Linked DNA regions of Mus musculus. The protein of the gene in region 2 interacts with the protein of the main gene of each other region in a pairwise test. Links are inferred from orthologs where the notes say so. Each region holds a gene or a part of one and is shown on either strand. Other genes may lie near its edges.

Region 1 (9,603 bases), on a different chromosome or scaffold from region 2:
GTGGACCATCTCTGGTGGTCTCTGCCTTTTTCCTGTCCTAGAGGTAGTCGGAATGTGCCACCATTCCCTTTATTTTCAGCTTTAATCTGACAAAGGTATTGTCCTTCTGAGGAGACAGCGCCACTCACTTGCCGCAGGTTAACATGGCGTCGTTCTGCTTTATCTTTGGAAATTAGACCCTGATGTCACTTGTGAAAACAGCTGGTTCGTTCCTGCAGCCCTGGGCCTGCTCCATTCCCTTGCATTTGTTTTTCTTCCTCCATTTCAGATCCTAATTTCCTTCCTACCTTTGATACAGTCCTTATATAAGATTTATGCTATGTATGTACATATTTATTGTATACCTTGTGCATAGCTCAGCTGCCTGTGCATTGCTTTAGAGCCCAGGCTGGCTTTGAACTCCAGCTCCTCCTCCCTCGGCCCCCAAGAGCTGGAGTCACAGGTTGTACCACCACACCCAACTCCCCTAGTTACTCTCTGTGCAGCCTCAAAACCAGTTCAGATAGTCTCTCATCTGCTGGCTAAAAAGGAAAAAAGAATCATTTTTGGTCTGCTCAGTTCATGTTGTTCTGTGAATAAAAGTGAAATGCTTCATCATTGCCCAACTGTACATTCACCCAGACAGCATAGAGCTTTTTATTCACATTTATTTATTTGTTTGTTTATTTATTTATTTATTATTTATTTATTTATTTTTGGTGCAGACGAGAAATATAACAGTAACATTATCTTTCCTTTGAGCACACAGGAGAAGACAAAGGACTAATATCCTCGTTTAGTTGATAGCAGTTCTAGTCCTTACACGGGTTAAGAAGATAATGCCAAGTGTTACTTACTTACTACAGCAAGAAATATCAGTAGGACAGTTACATTTGTCTTTTGGAAACCACTTTTACAAGACATAGCAACAGTTTTCAAAAAGTCTTCAGACTTCAGAGATCATTGTGCGGATTGAACTTCTAAGAATACAGCTATACATGAAGAGACACCAGAACAAGTTAATCTAGTAGTGAGTGTTCCCAGGAGTCTTCATACTGCAACTGACAGAAATTCAAATGTTTGCACTTGTTCTCAATGATCAGTAAAAGGCAGGCTTGTAAACATCAATCCTGCCAGTGAGCTGACAGGGGGGACTAGGATCGAGCGCAGTGGAATGAGGAGTGCACACCATTGATCTCCCCAGGCAAGGCTCACTCAGACTTACATCTGTTTACTAACATCTACTGGTGGAGTTGAAAATTAGAACAAACTAAGGAATATCCTCCAAGCGTCTCTTTTTAAATCCCAACCCACTTGATCCCTTCCCCCACCTCCTTGCACTGGAATGTGCTTCAGGGACCCCTGCCCCCAACCCTGCTCCCTCCATGTGTCAATCATCTCAGCAGACCTAGAAAAACTCACTCTGCAACAGGCTCTTCCCTCTAGTCCTCCTCTTAAAATTCCCAGCCTCCAACGAAGGTATCCAGACCTACGAGCTTTGGAGAAGCTTTCAACAAGGTCTTTCAATCAGAAAGGGAATGCCTGAGGGCTGCAGCGGCAGAAGCCACAACAGCGCTGTTGCAAATTCAATGGAGCATGTCCTGCAAATCCAGACCCCTCACATCCCCACATCCCTGAGAAGAGGCTTGGGGTCTCCCTCCCACAATGCACTCTACAGCCTGCTTCCTTCTTTGTTAGGATGGAAACATGGAAGGACATTCAAAACCTGACAGGTAAGGGCCAAGATCAGGCAAACAACAAAGATGTCGCACATTGTTGCTCTCTGGTCATTTCTACAGGCTGAGGCCCACAAAAGAACTGCTGTCCTTTAGAAACGTGGGCTAGGTGCATTCATTCACAGACTGCTCAGGGCAGGCACAGGGTCTGTCATTGAGACTCTTCTTTCTCTTCTCTCAGATTCCCAAACTAGAGCTTAAAGACACAGCACCTAGTAGAATGGAGGGAAGAGTGGAGGTGGTCTCCCTTGCTATGAGAAGGGTGGAATAGTCAGGGCAGTGAGAGATTTGGAGTCTACTTTACAGTACCTTTCCCAGCCTGCATACAACCAAGGGGAGAGCAAATAAAAAGCCTGCTGTCTTTTGTTTTTTCTGTCTCTGGGCTGTAACTGCCTTAAAAAGAAAAGGGGTTGGGGGGAGGTGAAAAGAGAAGAGCCAAAGAGAAAAAGGTATAGCAAGGCCTGTGGGCCACAAACAATTTCTAACTACCCAAACCTAGGCAACTTTGACTTAACCAGAGTGGGTGTGAACACAGGAAGAGGAGTAGTTACCTATCAAAGGTGCCTGGATAAGGAATAATTTGTTGGTTAGGGCTCAGAACTAACCACTGGAAGGGAGCCACTTCAGCTTTGCTTTGGGCACTGCCACGTGAGACTACAGATCCTGCCCAGCAGCTAATTGAGCCATGGGAACTGGTACAGCAGGGGGTATCTGTGTGCTGCCTAGGAACTTAGGTCCTTAGATAGTTCCTGAGGAACCACTTGGGCCTGTGCAAAGCTCAACCAGGAGAGAACTAGTGGGCAATTGCACAAGCTTCCATACTCACCAGTAGCTGATCACAATGCACAGCAACCAACGGTACAAGACCAATGAGGTGACAGAAAACATTCCTCGCCTGTTACTTCACTCATACCCACCAGCCACCTGCTTGTTGTAGAGATAACAAGCAGGGTAAAAGGCAAAGGCCCAGGAAGACAGCTAGGATCAGTTGGCAATAGCCTGGAATGTCCTGTTGGGCTAATGGCTGGGTTGGGGTACAGTTCCATCTTGCAGTGGTGAAACTCACGGTTCTTCACAGTACATAGATATCGGGAACACAGCAGAAAGTATGAAGCCTGGCTAGTTCTTGGTAAGAATGTGTCAAGCTTTCTTGTGGCAGAGAACCACTTAAAAAAAAAAATGAAAAAAAGATCATGTCACAGACAGGGACCAAGCCATGCAAAGAACGAAGTACAGACTACAGCACGTGACTTGGCATAGAAGCAGTTTGAAGGCCATGCACTTGGAACACCATTATATATATATATGCAGAACATCGTGATGGCCCAGAGAAAGAAGAGCAAAGACTTGAAAGCCACAATCTTGAAACTACTGGAGACTTAGAAGAACCAATGAACACAATCCAACAGGAAGAGAAAGCAGACAGAAGGCTGCATGCTGCTGGCCAAGCTGAGGAGGTGGTAAGGACTCCTCTGCAAGAGCTTCTCACGAGGGCAGAGCTTAGCCAGACTGGAACCTGAAGGACCTGGGACTCTCCACTGGCTGCCTTGGTGGGACTCGAACTCCACGGCGTGGCCCATCGCCCATCAGATAGTATTGTAGGGGATTGGACCACAGCTCCCCTTTGATAATTTCAGCTATTCTGTCGAATTCTAGGAGGCTGTGGTCTGAGAACCAGTTGAAGAAACTGGGAATCGTGTTCCCCTCCCTATTCCTGTGGATGTGGGCCTGGGGTTCCTGACCCCGGTGCCAGCGGATTGGCGTAGAGAGTGACACCACTCGACCTGAGGATCTGCGCTCATATTCTTTGACCAGCCCCTCATTTCGAAAGTAGGGGTTGCTTTGAAAGATGAACTTAAATTTGCACCCTACTCTTGGCTGCTTAAGCTCCTCCACCTCTAAATTGATCATGTACCTCATCATGTCTTCATCTTGGCCACTAATCATTGGTGACAGCTGGGGGTGGTTCCGAAAAGCGGTGACCCAGAAACCTGGGATGTTTTGGATGATGAAACTTCTGCGCTGCATGTGGAGCCTTCTCATCCGCCCAAATTTGCGTTCCAGCTGGAGGAAGGCCCTGTCAGCCTGCGCATTTACATTTGACAGCTCTTGATCGATGGCCTCCAGCGAGTCCATGCAATTGATCTTCGGAGCTCTGGGTCGAGTCTCCTCTTTCCCTCCTCCAGCTACCTTTTTTTCCTTCTGTAACCCCTTCTTTTCCTGCATTGCCGCTCCTGCTTCTCCCTCCTTGCCGGTGGCCACAGAGATGGCGCACTTGGTAGTCGTCATTTCCTTGGTCTTCTTCGGCCCCGGCATCTGCTGAGACCCCAGGCCCACCGCACCACAGGCTTCCAGGGCTTTCGGTTTAGCAGGGCTGTGAGGCCCTTCAAGCTGACAGCCATTTTTACTGCTGTCGTCGGCTGCCACAGGGGCTGAGGGTGCGTCCCCGCCCTTTGATGGAGACGGAGCATCCTCCAGACCTCTCGCTGCCGCAGCACAACTATTCTCAGCCACTCGGAAGCAGAGCTCGGGGCCGCAGTGCTCGGAATCCGGAGACGCGCCTCCATCCGCACCGGCCTCACCTGCAGCCTCCATCTCCCGCACTGTGTCGGTTTCCTCTTGGAGCCCCTGGTCCTGCTTCAGATCCAGATCTTCGGAGGCATGGGAGGGGGTCGTGGTGTTAGCGAGAGATAGCTCGTTGTTCCCTTCCACGCCGTTCATTTTGGCAGCTGACAGCCCTGCAGAGCTTTCCTTGTCCTCTGCAGACGCAGCGCAAAACCGCAGTGAGTGCTTAGCTCCACCCCTTTTCCTTCTGGGCTGGTGCTACCATGGCAACCTGTGACGTCAGGATACCAGCTGCAACTAACCGTAGCGCGAGAACTGGCAATCCAGGTAATTTTGTCGATCAAGTGTGTTCTTTTTGTCTTTTTAAATGATGCTGTAAATTTAATCTCATCTGGGAAATTGAGTACATAAATGGATGTCGAATTATATTTTACGTCTATTCGTAAGTCTCTAATTAATTTCGACAGTATCTAAACCATGTCTCAAAATAAATTTTAAAATAGAACCTATTGTCTAATAAAGTCAGATTTTATTCATGCTTCCCAGGAATAGAGAAGCGAATTCACCAGCTCACAGGCCCTCCTTATTTCGGACACAGATTCGATTCATAGCGGCTACTGAGGAGCTGCGCAGAATCAGATTTAGGGGGCAAAAAGTGTCGTCGTTGTTTTTACTTTCAAGCAAACAAGACATTCCTAAGGTTAATTTCGATTTCTGCAGAGATTTTGATGTTTGTATACATTGGCCGACATTTACAAAGCAATTGGATATTTCTTCACTTTTAAATAAATAGTAAACCGCGCCTTATTTACAGGTGGCCACAACGCATGCCATATACACAGTTAGCCCCTGAGAATTAGTGAAGGAAATGTAACCTCAGAGGATTCAATTTCTAAAACGATACACATTAATCCTCCTTTGCCTTGGTTTATGATCTTAGGTTCTGCTTCATGCCTGTGGGTATGGAGCCAACTAACATTTGCCCAAATTTGCCTTTGTGAAGGTAGAATCAATCAGGGTTTTTCACACACTTAAGCAACTGTGTCTTTAAAATAATCTACTTTAAAAAAGAAGGGTCATTCATTCAAGTCAATTTAGAAAATGTATTTATTTATTTACTCAATCATTTATTTAAATAAATAAAAGCTATTTATGTATTTAATCACCACGGTCTCTCAGTTTGCTAAAGTCTGAGAATTCGGATGTTAATCCTTAAGGGATAGAAAAAAACAGAAACTTAAATTTTGCATATTTAATGTTTGAATTTCTATTAGAACAAAGCTTTAGAGTTCTTTGCCCTGGGAAATTGATTCCTCCCAGAATATGGTTACACTACAGTAAGAGTCTTTGAATAGGGGTTTAAAGAAAAAAAACAAAAACAAAAAACATTACCCTAAGAACTCTAATGAGGGAAATAATGGCTCCTGGTTCGCCTAAGACTCTGAGGTGGTGAGAACAACACATGGCATATCATGCAGCTTGATTTTTTTCTTTCTTTCTATGCCAAAGGTGAGTGTTCTCACTCAAAGACAGTTGTCCAGGCTGGCCTGCCTCTTCCTAGCCCTATCTCCCAAAAAAGGAAAGAAAAAAAGGAAAATCAATTGATTATCTAAATAAAATTAAAATGTACACACAAATACCAATTCTTTTTCTGTCCCCCTTTCCTTTTTCTCTTAACAAATATTCTTTTTGCCTTACTGAGGTGAAATAAATGTATCGCTAACTTCCTATGTAAACACATAAACACTGCTATAATACACTCTGTGACTTCTGAGTTATTCTTTAACATTACACCACTTCTTTACCTAATGACTCTTCACACAGTTGAAAGAGTAGCAAACACTCTTGAATTTAGCCTAAACCAAGATGCAGAGAATCATCAAATGCTGAACCAAAATACTGGGCAATGCAGGAGAAAGAAAACAGCTTGCTATTACATCACTTCATAAGAAATGAGAAAATCACATGTGGACTTCTTTCTCTTGTATATATCAGTGTTTAAAGATTTGTTTTCTACTGCTGGAAACACCTCTGTCTACATTACATTTATTTTATTATATAATAATTTATATTATGACTATTTTTCTTTCTTGAAATTCAGTATATTATATTGTAGAGGTGGGGTAGAGAGAGGGGAGACAGGAGATGGGGGAGAGGGGAAGGGAGGCTGTGACTCTCTTTGTAGCTCTGGCTGTCCTGGAACTCACGATGGCGACCAAGCTGACCTTAAGCTCAGATCTACCTGCCTCTGTCTCCAAAATACTAGATAAAGGTGTACACCTCCATTCCCATGTCTTTTTTTTTAAGTGTAATTTTTCATCAATGTAAGATCATTGTAGTAGTTTAAAGATAAATGAAAGAATAATTTTAAATCTCTTTCAAAATATAGATGCTGTGGCATGATCGGTAGTTAGATGGTTATACATATGGAATCAGCAATGTATGGAGTTATTGTTACCACCAGAATCACATGTATGATACTAGAGACATTAGTGGGGTTTACTAAAACGAAGAGCAATGTCACAGTAAAATTCTGTGTATATATTAGATTTCAACAATTTACATAGTCCATATTCCTCAATTCTAAGGCACATTTAGTTTTATTTTAGCATCTCTAAAATGACTGTTTATGACACAATCAATGAAACCTTGCAACTGTTGTCATAAGACTAGCACTCACAATGTAGTTGTCACTGTGTGGGCATATTGTGAATTTGGTTATTAGTCTCAGTATCATAATTAGACAGATGCAGCCTCTTGACATTTCAATCACCAAACTCTTAAAAACTATGTGAGAGAGGAAAGTGGTTATTATGTGTCCTCTGGATGCTTTCTGCTGGCATCTGGCTAGAGCAAGAGAGCTCCAGAATCAACCTTGCAGGAGTGTAGTAATTTGGGAAACATGATATTTTAGAACAATACTTTCATTAAACATTCGGACATCTTTTAAGAATGACAATGTTTAGACGCTTTAAAAAAAAACATTTTTTATTATCGGATAGTCATGCATACCTGAACTTGAGAGGCAGAGGTGGAGGCAGGATTGCTACAGGTTTGAAACCAGCCCAGTCTACATAGCGATTTCTAAACCCATCAGAGCAACACAGTAAGGCCCTATCTCAAATATAAAAAAGGAAGGAAGGAAGGAAGGAAGGAAGGAAGGAAGGAAGGAAGGAAGAAAGGAGATATTTCAAAAATTATTCAAGATACAAAGAGAGAACAATACTGTTTGAGGAAACATAAACACTTAGAATTATCATTCTAACTACGATTAAGGTTATTCTAATTGGGAATTAATTGTAATAATGAAACTACTTTTATTTTACTTATGGCTTTCATACATGTCCATGGGAAATACATGATAAGTCACATACATTTTTCCTTTGAAACAGGCACTGTGTCATTTCCTTTAGATTGGTCTTAAACTTGCTGTGTAGCTGAATATAAACATGATCTTCTTGATCTGCCTTCCAAGAGTGCTCACCATGGCCAGCCAACTAAAAAACAAACAAACAAACAAACAAACAAAAACAAAAAAAACAAAAAAAAACCTTTAAAACCTAAAAATCAGTCAACTATAAAATTAAAATTCTGAGAGTCAGAGTGAGAAAGTTTTGCACGTAGGCTCAATAGCTTTCATGGTATAAACTGGTGGTGTGTCTCACCAGTTGCACCATGGATGGTGTTAGGACAGACAAAACAGAAAATTACCTTCTCAATGAGGCATATATTGTCTTCACTGTGAAAGAGTGGTAAGTGCTGTGTCTAAAAAGTTTCATCACTGTAAAGGCTTAGCACTGGACAATTATTTTATAGAAGTTAATTGTCCCAATGACAACCATCCCTTGGGCTCCTATAAATGCCCACACACACTAACTGTAATAACCATAATTAGTCTCACAACTAAGAAATAGTACATACATACACTGATTTTGGTTTTCTGTTTTATTGGTTTTGTTTTGTTGGTTTTTGTTTGGTTGGTTGGGTTTGTTTATGTGTTTTGTGTTTTTGTTTTGTTTTGTTTTTCCAGACAGGGTTTCTCTATGGAGCCCTGGCTATCCTGGAACTCACTCTGTAGACCATGCTGTCCTTGAATTCTGCCTTCTGCATGCTGGGATTAAAGGTGTACCACCAGGGCCCATCTTGTTTGTTTAAAATGTATACATAAAGTATTTCTATTCCTGGTCCCTAGGAGAGAGGAAGCAGCCTCTAAGATAATATTTAAAATCTGTATCAGCGGGCTGGAGAGATGGCTCAGCAGTTAAGAGCACTGACTGCTCTTCCAAAGGTCCTGAGTTCAAATCCCAGCACCCACATGGTGGCTCACAACCATCTGTAATGAGATCTGACACCCTCTTCTGCAGTGTCTGAAGACAGCTACAGTGTAGTTACATATAATAAATGAATAAATAAATTTTTAAAAGAAAAAAGAAGATTTCCAAACTTACCATTTGTTAAAAAAAAAAAAAATCTGTGTCAGCACTTGATGTATAGTTTTCTCTATACTGAAGAAAATATTTATGACAATTTTAGATCGTAAGTTCACTGAAATAACTGTGGCAGAATTTTTTCAGCATAAATTCAGTACTCTACCATGAGGACTGAATTATATAGTCTTTATCCTACTTAGCCTATAAGTATGAAAAATGAAAATGTTTTCATAGGCATGTTTAGTTATGATGGTTTCCTGCAATATTTTTCATTAAAAACAAAGAAAAGCACTCACTTTATGTAACGTTAAAAGAAACCAAGGAAAAACTTGACTGGCTATCCTGGAACTCACTTTGTAGACCAGGCTGGCCTCGAACTCAGAAATCTGCCTGCCTCTTCCTCCCAAGTACTGGGATTAAAGACATGTGCCACCACCGCCTGGTGACTGGTTTCAGTTTTATGGTGGTGCACATACCCCGTATGTTATCTTCTGAGTGCAGACAGTTGAAGTAGCAATATCAGGTGGTATGTATGTTCACTGTCACTTGGTGAGTGAAACAGTGATTTCCAGTAATGTTGCAGCCTACTATTACAAAGCAGAGGCATTTAATGCTGTTTAGAAAACAAGAAAATATTCTCATATGTTTATTGGAGGTACTTGCTACCTTACTGAACTACACACATTAACTGTCATGTTCTAAAATCAGCCTACTGCTTTGAGTCACATCCACAAGTAAGATGTGAAAGTGCCCAAACCATAATATTTTCCTGTCAATTACTTTCCATAATATAAGTAAACATAATCCCTTGTCAATTATTTTTCTATTCCAACATGGTCCGTACAATATCATGAGATTCCATGTGGTTGCTGGGAATTGAACTCAGAACTTCT
Region 2 (8,693 bases):
AGAGGCAGGTGGATTTCTGAGTTCGAGGCCAGCCTGGTCTACAAAGTGAATTCCAGGACAGCCAGGGCTACACAGAGAAACCCTGTCTTGAAAAAAAAAAAAAAAAGGAGGGAGGAGGGAGGAGGGAGGAGGGAGGAGGGAGGAGGGAGGAGGGAGGAGGGAGGAGGGAGGAGGGAGGAGGGAGGAGGGAGGAGGGAGGAGGGAGGAGGGAGGAGGGAGGAGGGAGGAGGGAGGAGGGAGGAGGGAGGAAGAAGAAGAAGAAGAAGAAGAAGAGATGGAAGAAGAAGAGGGGAACTTCAGAGGAGAAACCAACAGACAGGGAATCCAGAGATGGAGTACGGCTGTGGATAATGGGTTTAGGTGGGGCACTGGCCTATCATGGAAATGTGAGACCAAGACAGGACACAAGTCACCACCAGTTTTAGTCTAAGTCAGTGGTTCTCAATCTGTGGGTTGTGACCCCCTATGTGGGGGTTGCATGGCCCTTCCACAGAGGTCACAGGTCACCATCAGATATTTACATTATTATTCATAACAGTAGGGGAATTACTGTTGTGAATTAGCAACAACAAAAATTGTATGGCTGGGGTGGGGGGGTTGTTGAGAACCACTGCTCTGGGGTATTTCCAGCCTATGCCACTCTTACACATTTGACATTTGGGTCTCAGGTCACACAAGCGGCACCACCAGGACTACAGCCAGGCAGTGCAGAGCCCACAACCACACTGCATTGTTTTTGCTATCATTATAGTTTTGTTTTCTAAGACGGGGTCTCAAGTAGCCCAGGCTGATCTCAGACTTTCTCTATAGCCAGGGATGCCAACGATTACCTTGAACTTCCAATCCTTCTGTCTCCACCTCCTAAGTGCCACCCAAGTATCATTGGCATGTGCTGCATATTCAATTCATGGGAGTTTTGGAACTTAGATAGAACCCTGGGTCTTCTGCACATACGTAAAGGCTATATCACAAGCGCTGTCTCCCAGTGTTTCCCATTATTAGATTAAATATTCTTGTGCTAGAGTGGGGAAGAGAATATAGAAGTGGTGGTCAAAAGATGAAATACACATTAGCAACAAGACAGAGAGGAGCGTATGAAAAGGCAGAGTCACAGCAACATCTGGGGGTGTCGGCTGCGTGCATGTAGTGGTCAGGGCCGCAGACCCAGGCTCTCTCCCACAAGCTGGGTGTGCTCTTCTTTTGTCCTGGACTCTAGGCCGCTACTGTGGAGGAGTGTGCTTGTGTTTGGTGTGAATCATGCAGATTGTTGCAGCCCTGCCCTGGCAGAGAAAACAAGTGGGTTCTACTTATTCAGGACCCACACGCCCCTGATGAGCCCTCAGTGGGCCCAGGGGAGAGGGGTGCACAGGCTGGGCTGATGGACAGTCTTTAGCATTCCACTTAGCCCATGCTCAGTCAGCCAGCAGGTATCCAAACAATGGGTTTTGGGAAAGGGAGTCCCGGTTTCCTTACAGGAATCAGGGAGATGGGGTTGGGCAGAGGCAGCAGGAGAGAAGTGAACATCAATCCCTGCTATGCCCTTGGCTACGGACTCACATCAAACTAAGACGAAGACTGCTAAGGATGGAGCTTGGCCTGTGGCCTCTCTTTCCCTGAATGGCTTTTAGAACTCTGACAGCTGACTGCTGGGAACTGGGTCTTCAGTTCTGCAAGGAGCCCTGGTTTCTCAGGCCAGGAAGAAGAGGCCTTGGGGGTGCCGTGGTGCTACACTGAGGGTGCTGTCTGCTCAGCTCATTAACCCTTAGGTCAACGCTGTGGCACTGAGGGAAAGGGTCGTGGACCAAAAATGTTCCAGAATGAAGTTAAAGGGGCTCAGAAGCTGACCCCCAAATCAATCAGAACTGTTCCCATAGCCCACACCAGGTGGGCTTCAGTGTCTCTGGTACAACCAGAGGGGTGGCCCACAGGTGTTGGAGCCAAAGGCAAAGCAAGCAGAGTTTTGAAGAACCACCCCAGTACAGTTAAGGGCCTGAAGGAAACCATCTACCTCAGCCTGGGCCTCAGGGACAGCTTATAAAACAGGCCCGGTCCCTCTGAGAACACTTACCCAAACCCCTCTGCTTGCCACAGTGTTCTCATCTGCTCAAAGTCCCTTTGACCTATACTGCTTCCCTTCCTGGGGCACTGGAACCTTGTGGGAGGTCAGGTGTTCATGTCTGGCAGGAACAGGAGCCTCCAAGCCAAATCCAGCCTGGTGCAATCACATGATTCCCTGGGCTTCTCCCTACTGCCTGGGTCTTGTACGCGGTGGTGTCTGTAACAGCTGGTGACTAGGCTGGACAAGGATAGCATGCCTCAGCGAGCTGATAGCTGATGCAGGAGGCTAGCCAGGCAGCCCTTGGAGAAGATGACCACTTGGGAGGGAGGTGGCTGGGACATGCTCAGACTTCAGGAAGGGAACCAAGAGGAGCAGACAGCTGTCCAGGCCTCGGAGCAGCTGCAGACAGGATACAGCCCAGCCACACCACCCTAGGCCCTTCTATCTTTAGGACGGTCTTCTGACACCAGTATCTTTTCTCTCAGCTCTTAGGCTTCTAACTTCAGCTTGATTCCTCCAAAAGGAGGTGACCAGGCAGGGGTTGGGGGGGAAGCGGTGGGCTGACATTAATCGATAGGAGTGTCTCTGAGCAGTTCATGTGGCCTTATCTCTCTCTCCTTTGGATAGCGTGTGTCCGCCGGAGTCCGCGGGGTCGGTGATTAATAGGGGCCATCACTCACTGTCCTGGACGGCTGAGAGGCAGCGGGGAGGGGTGGCCCTCCCCAGACTGAGATAACAAGCAGCAGGAATAATGAGTGGTGTCACTCCACTTTTCATTGTGATGGAAAGTCATTACGGGAGTCAACGCCAGCGACAAAGAGCCATGAATCAACTGCTCTGCTATGAAATTAAAATCGAATTGCTGGCCACCCCCAGCCCCTATCCTTCCTGGGAAACAGGGATGGGTAGGTGGCTTGGGAGAGGGGTGCTATCCTGGGGTGGGTCCCACGGGAGAGGGGTGTTATCCTGGGGTGGCTCCCACCCAATCGCAGAGCAGGCAGTTACGGGCAGGAAGTGGACAGGCAGCCAGTAAAGGTGACAACTCTTGTCTCCACCTTGTTTATCAGACCCTGCCTCCCCAAACCACATTTCCCCCTGACTAGCCAGTAAGCAGTGATTAAGAGGAAAAATACACCTCTGCAGGGTCTCACAGGGCAGGCTGACTGCTCCCCCTGGGCTGCCGACTGGGGCAGGACAGCATGAGCCTGGTGACAGAAGGGGGCAAAGCTGTACTGGCCAGCCCCAAACCACATGCTGAACCATTTATAAATGCTTATGGGGTCAGGTACCACCAAAAGCCAGGAAGAAAAGCCTCTAACCTGGGGCTCTACAATTGCTCAAGGCCTCCTTGGATCAAGAATTAAGAAAACATGTGCACAGCTTCAACTTCAAGCAGGCTCAGCGTGGTGGTGCAAGTGACTGCCAGCCACGAAGGAGAGTCACTTCCTTTTATTAAGCCTCACTTGACAACTAGAAGCAGCAAGTGTGCCTTAAGGCTGACAGGCCAGAGCCACTCAAGACAACTGCTTGCAGAGATCATGGTGTGACCCTTCCTCATGGCTCTGTCTCCAAGTCCGCCTGACTTCTTGCTGGTGAGGCCCAGTAGCATCAGCCTGGGCTGTCCCACCTCCTCCTGGTAGCTGGGAAGGAGGGTGGAGGACACAGAGGGAGCGCGTCACAGAGAGGTCCCCATCAGGTTCACAGGACGGCCACTGTATCTCTTGGAGATGTCGGCTTCAATCTGAGAGAAAGAGAGCGGAGTGGGCAGGGAGCAGACAGGCCGGCAGGTTTCTCGGTCTGTGGAAGCGGAGGGGTTCTCCCCCGGGGCAGGCTCCCGGCACGGCTCACCAGTTTCTGCAGCTCTCTGGTCTTCTCCAGCAGCAGGTCCAGCTTGGGCTCCAGAGCTGCCTGCTCCTGAAGCGCCTCCTGCTGCTTCTCCACCATCAGCTCCTTCTTCAAAGCCAACAGCTGCGACTGCTTCAGCTTCTGCTGGAGGAACTCTGTCACTCGGTCCACATACCTGTGCAGATGGAGAAGCCTGGGAGGCTGTCTGCACTTAACTGCTGGGCCGGTGAGGCTCAGGAAGCTAATTCCCTCCTTGGCCTCCCCTCCCCTCATGGCCTCCCTCCTTTTTCTGGTAAGGAATATAAGCCACTCCAGATTCCTCTCAACTTAGGAACCAGGTTCTGTCTACAGACATTAATCAACCCTACCCTGCGCTACTCCCAGGAGAAAGCCATGTACACAGGAAGGAGGAATCATGGAAGAGGAAGAAGACAAGGGGAGGAAGCTCCATTCGAGATGGAGAAACACGGAATCATGGAAAGCCAACCTTGGCGAGGCCAGAATCATAAACAGGTGCTGCATCCGCAGACTGGTGAGCCGGCCGATCAGCTGCTGCAGCGTGGACACCAGGCTGAGCATCTTCTCTTTGGTCTGGCCCTGGAGGATGGCAGGAGCCAGCTGGAACTGGCTCACGGACAGGATGTCGGCCTCCTCGCTCATCTCTACTGCTCTCTGAGACAAGAAGATCTCAAGCTGAGGAGGGAAAGGGACTTCGTTCAGACCAAGAAAGGAACTCAGAAGCTGAGCCCCCCCCCCCCACCCCCCCCCCGCCCTGATGTGAAGAGCTAGAGTCCAGAGGAGAAAGGCTGTCTCCTGTGCATCACTCTACTGCTGGAGACCCTGCTCCTACAGCATGGGCTCCTTTCGGCGAGCACCTCTGGCATGGACACCTACAACACGGGAGCAGGTGGCCGCCCTGTTCCTCTAGACCCCATGCTGACCTGTGCTAGCCTAGCCCAGCCCTCCATCCTTTTCTCCAGCCTATGGGAACACACTGAGATTCCTAGGGCAGGTACTAATGTTCTCTCCATGGGAGCAATGAGAGTGCTTGAGAAACTTTGGATTCAAAGTCTAGAAAGAGTATGAGCTGCAGCCACATCTAAGATGTAGTCTTTATGAGTAAGTTCATCTTGGGCTGGTTAGAGGGCCTGATGCCAAGCCTGAGAACTTAGGGTTGATCCTCAAAACCCACATGGTGAAAGGCGACAGTAATGACACCTACAGTTGTCCCAATTTGATCTCTACCTGTGGGCTGCGGTACACATGTGCATATGTGCACTCACAAATCAATAAGTACAAGCCTTAAAAAGGAAAAAACAAATCTTGCTGTATTATGAACACTGGGTATCTTTTGTCCCCCTCTCCCCTCATGGCTACAAAATGTCTCTTCAAGGGGAAAGTAGAGGAAACCAGATAGGCACAGAATTTTCAGGAGGTTTGCCATGTAGCTACTCGGTTCTTATCTGCTCTTCCCGCTAGAATACAAGCTCCGCCGAGGCTAGGCCTCTGAACGTCTTTGTCACTGCTCCATTGCTACTGCCCAAGATGGAGCCAGGAACTTTAGAGATGTCTCATAACTATGAGAAGAACAAGGGTGTTGGGGGGAATCCTAACTTGTTAGGCTCTGCTCCAGGGTACTGAAATCAGTCCGGGCCCTTCCCTCCCATCAGCAGGAGGCATCAGAAATGAAGCCACATCTCCCAGAAGGCAGTACCTCCATGAGCTCATCAATGAACTGATTCCGAGTTTCAGGGTATTCCAGAAGAGTCAGAGCGTCTGAGCCCCGAGCTACACCCTCCGGAGCTGTCAGAAAGAGAGGCAGAGACACGAGGATGGGTCTGAGAAGCCTGTGGGTTACTGTGGACAGACTCTTCTCAGCCCTACCCAGCCTTTCCCCCTTGTTCACACCTCTCGGTTCTACTTGGGTCTGGCCGATAAATGCACAGGCAGAGCCAGAGGCGGCTGGTGGCGAGGCAGGTAAAGTGTCATCCTGCACTGCCCTCTAGTGACACAAGTGACTGCTACAGCCTCTCTGAAGATTTGGGAGAGGGAGGAGTCCACTTCAGACCTGGAGCCCAACCAGTCTCTTAAACAATCTACCAAAATGACTGGCCCACATTCAGTCTCTAAAACATACAGAAATTGGTGGTGTGGGCCTTTAATCCCAACACTGGGAGTGAGTTTGAGGCCAGCCTGGTCTACATAGAGAGTTTCAGGCCAGCCTACAGTGATACTGTCTCAAAAAAGAAAGGGGGGTGGGGGGAAGCAGGGAGTTTTTAGATCCCATCCCTCTCCATTCACATCCTAAACAAGATGTACTTTTAGTTTTTGAGACTCGGTCTCACAGGTTGTTCAAATTCACTGTAGCTACAGATGCCCTTGAACTTGGGCTCCTCCATTCTCCAGGACTGTAGGGGACAGGGCACCTACCCTCAGTTCCTGTCTCCAGCACGGTGATCTCTGAAGCAGCAGCAGCATCGTCACCCCAGTCTATCTTGTCAGCCCCAGCATCCTGAGGAACAGCAAAGACTCAGCAAGTTGGAACCGGTTCCCCAGTGCAGGGACCCAGAGCAGACTAGAGGCCCTGAAGGGTTCAGTGACTGCACCGTCCAGTCTGATGCAGTGGCAAGCATGGCGGAGGGCGTGGGCTTTGATGACGCCACCCTCCCTCCTGACTGGTCAAGGGCTTGCATTCATACACCCCAAGTCCCAGGGGAAAAGAGCCTACGCTAACGCCTCACTTCTGTGACTCTGTTTCCCTCAGGATGCGCCTGGCCTTACAACTGGGAACGGTCCCACGCACAGATGTTTTTCTATGGTTGAAGCAGGACCGCTTAGAAAGAAAGCTCTAACCTTGGCCTCTGACTCCAGGGAGATACCCCAGTCTATTCCAGGAGTCTCAGCAACGATGCCAGAGTCGGAAACAGCTTCCACCCCAAAGTCACCCCAGTCGATCTAAAGAGCAAAAAAATAAGTCAGTGCAAACAAGGTGGGCAGAGAGAGGGAGAGGAGTTTGCCTTTCTTAGGTCTCAGTGCCGTGCAGAGTCATGCAGTCAACTGCACGGACCTCCAGGCTCCCACGAGAAAGGGCAGTTTCACCGAAGGACTCCCCAGGTCAGCAGGAGCCAGTGGGCTGAGGTGTCTACCATTTGTCTGCACTCTGGTCTCAGGAAAGCCAGGAAAATCAAAGGGCCTTTGGGTCCGCCTACCCGAGCCTCGCTCACCCAGCTTCCCTTACTCTTCACTATGGGAAGTCAGGTCAGGGCTCGGGCTCCGTGTGGATGGGAAACAGCTCCCACGCGGCTCCTCAGAGGCCCTGTCTTACCTCATCCTCTTGCACCTGCTCAGGAGGCTCCTCCAGCTGTGGTCGCTCCACCACAGAGGGCTCTGTCCCCGTCCTCCACTCATACACCGTCGAGTTTCCCTTCTTCTGCACATACCGCAGCATGGGCAGCACTTGCTCTGTGGGGCTTCAACAGAGCATGGTCACGGAGCCTCTCTTGGGAAGCCGGCACAGGCTCCACCCTAATCACTGGTCCACGAGTTACCAACACAGGTGGCGTGCCATGTGGGATAATCCGAGTGGAGAGGAGCCAGAAAGACCCGGGAAGGCACCCCTTGCTCAGGGTGGAGAAGTTCTCCTTACCTGTCACACACAAACTCCACACAGGCCTGGTACAGGTCAATGGCCTCCCCCAGGGACTGAGCCCCTGCCCCTATCTCAGCCAGCTGACTTGGCAGGTCCTTCACCAGGGCCAGAAGTTCTCTTCGGACATTGTCTCCCTAGGTTGAGAGAAGGGAAGGGTTTGGTCACACATGGTGGGAGATGGAAACTATCGAGTCAAACAAAACATTCAAAGACTGTAGGAAGGTGAGAGAGACCCAGGCCGGGCACAATCCAACTGAGAAAGAAGCCCGCCAGCTGCAGTGGAGTTGAGCCCGGAGAGAGCCAGTCCCAAGACTGTCTGGCTGCAATGAAGTGCTGCTCACCGTGATGCCATACTGTTTGCAGGAGTGGTAGAATTGCTCTCGCATCTCAGCGGCCCCAGCCTGGCCCTCCTCCTCCTTGCGGCTGTATTCTTGCTGCAGTTGCTGGCACTTGGCAATCTGCTTCTTCAGCGAGGGGATCTCATAGCTGACATTCCGAACCAGGAGGCTACAGAGTTCCACTGAGGAAGGCCCAGGAAATTGACTGTAGGATACCCTTGCCCTGAGGTGCACACAGATGCCCTAGCATGGTGGAGGAGACGGGGGCTGGCTTCTCAGCCTCTCCATTCCTAGCTATGGGACCCAAGACAAGTTGTGTACCCTCTCTGCTTCAATCTTTAGCTGCCGAACAGGGACTATTGTGTTTTCTCTGTGGATCCATATAAAACAAAACCCAGAGTGTTTGGTATACATTAATAATTACAATTATTTACTATTCAGAGTCATGATCCAAACTATAATCAACCATTAGTTGCTTCCTCTCAGGCTCCCAATATGGCCCACACATCACAGGATGGCCCCCACACACAGCGAGGGTGGGGGCAGTACGCACTACCTCCCCAAGGGAGAGAGACAGGCCAGATGACTGTTCAGTAGGGCACACGAAGGTTCACTTCCTGCCTGATTCTCCCTCTCATGGAGCACGTGCAAAACCGTTTTTCACACCTACAATCAGGCAACATCTGCGCCGCACCCCACTTCCTTCCAAGCTCTCTATCAGCTGGCTGTTTCAGAGCCACAGCATCGTGCCCGCCCCCTCATGGATGCTTGGCCCCTTTAGGGCAACTTTACCTAAATAGGT

What was found.
Region 1: the proteins of Cdk5rap3 (region 2) and Tspyl4 interact in binary tests that used the Homo sapiens proteins (3 or more experiments, as listed by UniProt). The two-hybrid records come from large-scale screens. The link is inferred for Mus musculus from reciprocal best matches to the Homo sapiens genes CDK5RAP3 and TSPYL4.

What each region holds. Positions count from the first base shown.
Region 1 is NC_000076.6:34,292,347-34,301,949, reverse strand, and holds Tspyl4 (testis-specific Y-encoded-like protein 4), read right to left. Parts: upstream 4,530-9,603; 5' UTR 4,437-4,529; coding exon 3,216-4,436; 3' UTR 630-3,215; downstream 1-629.
Region 2 is NC_000077.6:96,904,323-96,913,015, forward strand, and holds the end of Cdk5rap3 (CDK5 regulatory subunit-associated protein 3), read right to left. Parts: coding exon 8,684-8,693; intron 8,074-8,683; coding exon 7,895-8,073; intron 7,688-7,894; coding exon 7,551-7,687; intron 7,375-7,550; coding exon 7,230-7,374; intron 6,860-7,229; coding exon 6,758-6,859; intron 6,417-6,757; coding exon 6,335-6,416; intron 5,708-6,334; coding exon 5,619-5,707; intron 4,598-5,618; coding exon 4,392-4,597; intron 4,080-4,391; coding exon 3,908-4,079; intron 3,801-3,907; coding exon 3,735-3,800; 3' UTR 3,103-3,734; downstream 1-3,102. UniProt on the Homo sapiens protein: Substrate adapter of E3 ligase complexes mediating ufmylation, the covalent attachment of the ubiquitin-like modifier UFM1 to substrate proteins, and which is involved in various processes, such as ribosome recycling and reticulophagy (also called ER-phagy).